Linked DNA regions of Cricetulus griseus. The protein of the gene in region 1 binds, or shares a complex with, the protein of each later gene. Links are inferred from orthologs where the notes say so. Each region holds a gene or a part of one and is shown on either strand. Other genes may lie near its edges. The genes, in order: Nup205 and Cetn3.

Region 1 (3,817 bases):
TCCAGCCCAGATTTTAGTTGTTTTTAATTAAAAGAAAATTTAGCTATTTAGATTGCTACACATAAACTTATTCCAAAAATAATTAAAGCAGGCACAGTGCCATGCAGCTGTAATCCAAGCACTCCAGAAGCTGAGGTACGATGATCTAAGTTTGAAGTAAGCCTGCTCTGAATAAAGAAAGCAGACCAAGGGTGATACACACACCTTCAATCTCAGCTCTTGGCAGGCAGAGGCAGACAGGTCTAAGTTGAAGACTTGCCTGGGCTACATACTGAGTTCCAGGCCAATCAAGGTTACTTAATGAGATCCTGCCTCAACAAAAAAAGAAAAGGGAAGGAGAGAAACCAAAAAGAAACCTGTCAGGAAACAGTATGCTCCGATTAGTGGCGCTAACTTGTATTTAAAGCTCAGCATGGTGGGGCTCGCACCTGAAACCCAGCACTTGGGAGGGAGAGGACAAAGAAGGATCATAGCTTCTAATCCAGTGTGGCACACACAGTCAGACCCATCCTCAAAAGGAGAAGAAAGGGCAAATTCCAAAGCCACCTGTGCACTTACAGTGGCTCCCAGCCTTGGTGGTGCCGTGACCCCAAGGACAAAGGGCACTCACGAAGATGTGAGGTCACTCTGATTTGCCAGAATTAGAGCTTACTACTAACACAGAGGCAGGGAACCCAGCATCATGACAAAAGGCCATCAAGTGCATGGCTAGTTCCTCACCTATCCCTTATGAATGCACATACTCTTTTGAGGATTATTCCACAAACAAAAATTCAATACATCCAGGCATTGTGACCACTAGAATGCATCAATAGCAGAATCAGTTACCTGGTCATGTGTGAAATCGCCAACCAGTTTGATCTGTATGTTGGAATTGCAAGAGATACAGCAGAGGATCTTGGCACTTTCAAAGGCTAATTCAGGATTACTGTTCCCATGATAGAGATACCTTCAGAAGAACAATGTGGAACAGTGTGATCAAGCTTGGCTGTTCACTGCTCTCGATACAGAAAATGAAAGGGCGCATGGTTAAGAGCATTTGCAGAGGACCTGGTTTGACTCCCAGCACCTCCATCTGCTTGCAACTGCTTCACACTCCAGCTCTACAGGCTCCAACCTCCACAGGCACAACATGTACGCAGGTGATGCCGCAGTCAGGTAGGCGCACACAAGTACATAAATCAAGTACTGAGAAGGTGGCTAAAGAGGATGGCGCTGGGCTACCTTTATGTCAACCTGACACAAGCCAGAATCATTTTGGAAGAGGAAGAAACCTCAACTAAGAAGATGTCTCCACCAGACTGGGACATGGGCAAGCCAGTGATTTTTCCTGATTGATGGTTTTTGTGGGAGGGCCCAGCTCGCTATGGGCGGTACCACCCCAGGGTGCTAGAAGAAGGGTCCTGGGTGCTAGAAGAAGCTGAATTCTTCCATGGCTTCTGATTAAGGTACTGCCTCCAGATTTTTGCCTTGAGTTCCTCCCTGACTTCATCAGTGATGGGAATGTGAGCTGAGAGCTACAAAATGAAACTCTTCTCAAATTGCTTTTGGTCACATTGTTTTATCACAGCAATGGGAAACATAACTAAAACAAGGGTACAACAAGACTGTGTCCTCACCAAAGGATATATGGACAGAAGCACTTCCACAGAACATCATATGAAGGTGAGGGATTGATTCCACAAGCTACACAACACCAAACCATCAGAATGTTAGCAAATATACATGTGTGTACATCAACACATGTATGTGACTGGGGGTGGCTCTCTATCCCCACACCAGCCCCAAACACTCAGTTTCCCTACAGAAAACAAACATTATTCATTTTGGACATAAAACTTATAGGACATAGAATGACCTATGAAGAGAAAGAAGAAAAGACATGGTAAGACTGAGTGATTAAAATCAAAGGGGTGAAATTAGATAGTATGAAAACAGGCCAAAACCAATAATCTGTGATGTTTTAAAATGCAACAAAAAAGAGAGAGAATCAAAGCTAGAATGCCCCTATCATTCTCTTGCTCTACTGACAAATGGAACTTACCTGGCAATGTTAACCACATTGTCTGCTTTCTTAGTTCTGGGATTAATTCCCTGCAAAAGCTGTTCCAAAGGTGAGACAATGAGAGCCAGCTGACTTTCTCTCAGAAGGTCCATAAAAAGGTTCTCCTTTTGCAGAGTGAGATTGAGAAGTGCAAGGCAATGCTGAACTGCTTTTTCCAGGTGTTTCTTTCCTGTCAACCCAAGTGAAGTTAGAATCCAAATGAATCTTGGAAACATACAGTACTTAAGAGAAAACCACCTAAAAGGCAAGTTTTAATATCAAAAAGCTCTTGTTTTTACAAACTTTTCAACAGCACCTTCACAATAGCTTTCCCTACATAAACGCAATTATTTCTGTGACCCAGGCTATTCAGATGTTAGCGTCTCTCTAGTCTTGCCCTTGATCCTCTAGAGCAGTGGTTCTCAACCTTCCTAACACAGTTCCTCATGTTTTGGTGACCCCCCAACCATAAAACTATTTACAACTTCATAACTGTAATTTTGCTGCTGTCATGAATTGCAATGTAAATATTTGGTATGCAGGATATCTACTACGTGATCCGAAAGGGGTCGTGACTCACAGGTTGAGAACCACCATTTGGCACGATGGCTCTCTGAATGGGGTGATGTGTGTCCAATGAACATCTGACAACACCTGTAAACACTCTTACTTGTCCTAACGAGGAAGTACAACTGGAAGCCAGTAGACAGAGCATACAGCACACAGTACAGCACCCACAACACAGAACCATCAGCTAAATTGTCAACTGTGCTGAGAGTAAGACACTTACTTCAACTAAGATATAACAATTGTAAAAAATAAATAAAGGCGCTTGCAAGCTCAAGAGAGGACCCAGTGGCTAAAAGCACTTGGCTCTTGCAGAGAACCTGGGTTCTGTTCCAGAATCTACATGGTAACTCACAACCAACTGTAACTCCAATTCCAGGGAAGCTGACATCCTCTTCTGGCCTCCACAGGCATAAGGCATACACACAGTACATGTAAATTCACACAGACAAAATGTTCACGCACAGAAAATAAAAATAACCCTTCCAAAACTCTTTACAGGAACTAAAAAGCAGAAAATATATCAAGGATCACTTGCTGGGATAACTCTTTCTACAGTTTCTTACCTATGAATTATATAATTACAGCCCCATGTTTAGAATCTGACTTTCCTATTTCAGACCACTGCCACAAGAAAGACAACACACCACAACAGCATGAAGATGGGCCCTGGGGCCTGACTGCCTAGGATCAAATCCCAGCTCTCAGTTTAACTTTTTTGTACATCATTTTGTTAAATATAAATGAGATCTGCCACATAAGACTTCTCTGCAGATTAAAACATACGCTATGCTTTTAAGAGCCAACTGCATAGAAAGCAGTCAACAAATAGTCGTGCCCATGAAAGTAAGTAACATTTACTGGACACTATGAACCAGACCACAGTACGTGTTTCTGTAGGTATCATGAGTTAAGGATGTTAAAGATGTGAAAGCAATAGAAAGATCACTTTAGTAACCTGCAGAAGACCCTACAATGACCATGAACGAGATGAGATAGTCACAGTGAGAGAGTCAGTACTACAGTCTATTTTCACTCATAGTGACTCACTGAAAACACCACCATTAGATGAGATACTCTTCCAGTACAGAAGATGACGGTGTCACAGAGACCTTCAGGCACATACCAGGGAAAGGTGCGTAGGTATCCAGCTGCTTAACTCCTTCTTCCAGTAAACTGAGAGCAAGTTCCAACATCGGTGACTCA
Region 2 (3,917 bases), on another chromosome or scaffold:
CACTATCTGGGGAATGGGTAGCAGCAGCTACAACAGGATAGTGTGATGGGGAATGAGCTAAAGAATGACCTCTAGAGTGAAGCTAAAGGGCCAGGCCTATTACTACTGTTAGACATTCTATCCTCTCACTACATAGTTCCTACCCATACTTAGATTGCTTAAAACCCCCCTACAATGTTGCCGAATTAAAACTACTATAAACATTAAGGCTACTAAAAGATTTCATAAATGCTAGTAGACTGAATAAGATCCTCACCAATTTCTCCAATCTTTACTAGTAGTTTTGGATTTTTTGTTTGTTTGTTTGTTTTTGTTTTTGTTTTTGGAGACAGGGTTTCTCTGTGGCTTTGGAGGCTGTCCTGGAACTTGTATACCAGGCTGGTCTCAAACTCACAGAGATCCGCCTGCCTCTGCCTCCCAAGTGCTGGAATTAAAGGTGTGCACCACAACCGCCCAGCTCCTTTACTAGTAATTTTAAGCCTTAAATTTGACATAGTCCCTCAGCATGTATCAACATAAGGCATCAGACAATGTACATCCTTTGTAGCAAAGAAAAGAAAAATAAGAGTTTGTCCGTATTATCTTTGAAAATTCAAAGATTGAGCCAGGTGGTGGTGTTGCATGCCTTTAATCCCAGCGCTTGGGAGGCAGAGGCAAACAAATCTGAGTTCTCGGTCAATCTGGTCTACAAAGCTGAGTTCCAGGACAGCCAGGGCTGTTACATAAAGAAACCTTGTCCAACAAAAATATAAAATAAAGATAAATAATAAAAGCTTGAAAGGATACATTTTCAATCTCGGAAACATCTGAGCAAAGGTAACACTCTCTCAATCTGAAAATTGTCTGTGCTGTGCTTAAGTGATAGCTCAGTGGATAAGAGCGCTTGTCCTGCACTCACGAGGACCAGAACTGGAACTGTAACCACCCACATAAAGACAGGCATGGCTACAAGTGTCCGTAACCCCAGCATTGAGGGGTAGATCGGGATGTGATTCCAGAGTTCACTCTCTAGCCAACCTAGGCTATGAGCTTCCAATTCAGTGAGGTGCCCTGTCTCCAGGCAGTAAGGTAGATGGTGATGAAAGATACACAAAGCCCCACTCTGCCTTCCACACACTACACAATGTGGTTTACATGCCTGCACAGGCACATGCACATGCACATGCCACATACATGTTTTTTTTAAAGAATCTGAGCTACTCCGTCCTCCAGAAGAAACCAAAAATGGGAAGAATAAGCTAAGAACTGTTCTTTCACCTGGGTGAATGAAAAAGCCTTACTTCCCACCAAATGTACTTTTACATTTAAATACGAGTTTCTAAAAGCCATATTAGGGTTTTTTATTCAATTTTATTGCAGCCCCTGTAAGTGGATACTGAAAACAGCTTCAGGGTTCTAAAACAAGTTTTTAAAATAGACTTTAAAGCAACAGTCAAAAGTGCAATTCATTTAAACAAAAGAGATGTGTCATCAAATACACTGTTACCTTTAATTCATGATAATCTATTGCGTGGTCTTTGTCGGTATCAAAGAGCTCAAAGGCATCTTTAATTTCTTGCTTCTGTTCTTCAGAGAGCTCTCTTCGTTTTTTTCTCTTTGTTTTGTCTACTACAAGCTCACTTCTGTGACACAGGAAAATGTGTTTAGTCCACTTCAACCCAACTCACTTAGAACAAAGAATGGTTTTCTAAACTTCAACAAAGCAGAATAGTCTGGAGAATAAAGAAGCTGTCCCTAAGTCAACGTCTTGTACTCCAAATGTACTTTTATATACCAAAATCCAAAGCACTATTAGTTGTTATTCATGTTACCTACCAAGAGCATGAAAACAAATATAAAAATCCATGTGAAAGTAAATTTCACAAATGACAACCACGATATATGGTTTACCTTGGACAGCTTCTAATTAAATTCTCACAATTACTACAAAGATTAACCATAAAGCTTATAAGGTGAGTCACTTTAACACTGCAAGTTCAAAATGCTTTCAGATTATACATTTCTAACAGTGCTTTGTGTTTTCATTCCATATTAACCAGCCAAAATATAAAAGCACCTAAACAAATACTAGACGACCAAAATAATAGCATATAATGTTCCTATTTGAGTCTGTGTGATGTTTAAAAGTGTTGTCAGTCTCAACCTATAAACAATGGGTTAAACGTCTTCATTTAAAAACTCTGGAGAAGCGTAAAAGAACATCTAAAAAGGGATTTAGGGCCAAAAACGTCTGCCTTAAAGACTGCCAATGTTTAAATGAGGCACAACACGTGTATCCGCTAGGTTTTAAGAAATGGAAGCTTGAAAGCCTGAAACACGGCTGAGTGTGTAGGCTCTTTACACCTGAAGGGCAGAAGGCTGGCAGGGGCTGAGCAGAGGTGGCCGCCCGCCACACCCACGCCGGGCCACACCCCCGCCGGGCCATCAGCGTCTACCCACTCTACAGCGCCTGCACGTGAAGATGGACAGGGTGAGGAGCCAATGGGAGCCAGTGGGCCAGGTGGGTGCCTGGACGAGAATGGCGGAAATCAAGGGCACCAGATCCGCCGGGGCGGCCGACGCACAGGGCGCCTCGACCGCGGAGAGAGCCTGGCTGTCCCACGCTTGTCCTAAGGAAGGAGGCCGCCAGGCCCGAGTTCCTCACACGCAGGAGGGAAACCTCGCGAGACTGGGCTCCCGATGCGGCGCCGGCGCAGTCCGCAGAAAAGGGCCGCACCGCCGTGATGCTCGGCGCTCTGCACCCGCGCCCGGCCCGGCTTCCCTTCCGCGCCCGCCCTGGCCCTCTGCGGAATGGACACACGGCCTCCTCGTTACCGACCTCAAAGCTAAACTCATTTTCTCTTCCGGCCAAGATGTTCCGCCCAAGGACTTTTCCACGGGAACCGCTCAACAGCCACCAACCTCCCGGCCGCGGGACCACCCACCAAACAGAGATTTCTGGTTGCGATTGGCTGAAGACTGCCAATAGTCGGCCCATTGGGGCGGGAGCCTCGCCGGCCCTCTGTTCTCATTGGTCACCGTTCGTGTCAATCAAGTACCTTTGGCCCTGCTGCCGGTGTCAGTCACCACGCTGGGTTCGGGCGCTCTGGGGGGGGAAGGGAAAATGCTCAGCACAAGCAGTCACTGGGGATCCAGCCCTTGCCACTCAGAAGGTCAAAACGTAAATCTGAGGGCTTTGTTCTCCATTCTTATTTCAGTAACTACTAAGCCACCAAGTGTTTTCCCTTTTCAACGTTTCCAAGTGATTCCAAGAATTCACCCTGTAGACCAGGCTGGCCTCAACCGCAGAGATCCGCCTGCCTCTGCCTCCCAAGTGCTGGGATTAAAGATGTGCACCACCAAGGCCGAAGACAAACTAAAGTAGGCTCATCATTATGTTGGTCTGTTAGTTTATTTACAGAAAAACTACCTAAACCACCGTTTTCAACTTGTGTGCGATTTGAGATGTATTTGTTTGCTTCTGTCCTGTATTTTCTAGTGCTGAACACTGTTTATGTGCCCATGGTCTTCATTACCCACCAGGCCTCCTGAAGCTCACCTGGATCATTCACCTGCTAAACTGAATGGCATCAAAGTCAGGAGTCTACTTTCCATTTAACCGAATGTTTGCACCAAATAAAATACCTGGTATTATTAAATATTAAATTATTAGATAATCTGAAAATAAACCATTTACATGAAGATGTTTGAAACAAAGGACAAAATTAAATTAGAAGGAATAAATTACAGAAAAATAACAAGACAATTTTTGTTTGTTTTTGTTGTTGCTTTTTTGAGACAGGGTTTCTCAGTGTTAACATCCCTGGATATCCTGCAAGTCTTTAGACCAGTCTGACCTCAAACTCAGAGATCCTCCTGTCTCTGTCTCCCACGAGCTGGAATTCAAGGTATGCATCACCACTGCCTGGTAATGTGAG

Evidence for each region.
Region 2: Nup205 (region 1) and Cetn3 share a complex: the UniProt entries of both Homo sapiens proteins name them as parts of the nuclear pore complex. The link is inferred for Cricetulus griseus from reciprocal best matches to the Homo sapiens genes NUP205 and CETN3.

The regions. Positions count from the first base shown.
Region 1 is NW_023276806.1:192,733,759-192,737,575, forward strand, and holds part of Nup205 (nuclear pore complex protein Nup205), read right to left. Parts: coding exon 3,738-3,817; intron 2,235-3,737; coding exon 2,045-2,234; intron 950-2,044; coding exon 829-949; intron 1-828. UniProt on the Homo sapiens protein: Plays a role in the nuclear pore complex (NPC) assembly and/or maintenance. May anchor NUP62 and other nucleoporins, but not NUP153 and TPR, to the NPC.
Region 2 is NC_048595.1:302,231,821-302,235,737, reverse strand, and holds the start of Cetn3 (centrin-3), read right to left. Parts: upstream 2,954-3,917; 5' UTR 2,836-2,953; coding exon 2,819-2,835; intron 1,623-2,818; coding exon 1,487-1,622; intron 1-1,486. UniProt on the Homo sapiens protein: Plays a fundamental role in microtubule-organizing center structure and function. As a component of the TREX-2 complex, involved in the export of mRNAs to the cytoplasm through the nuclear pores.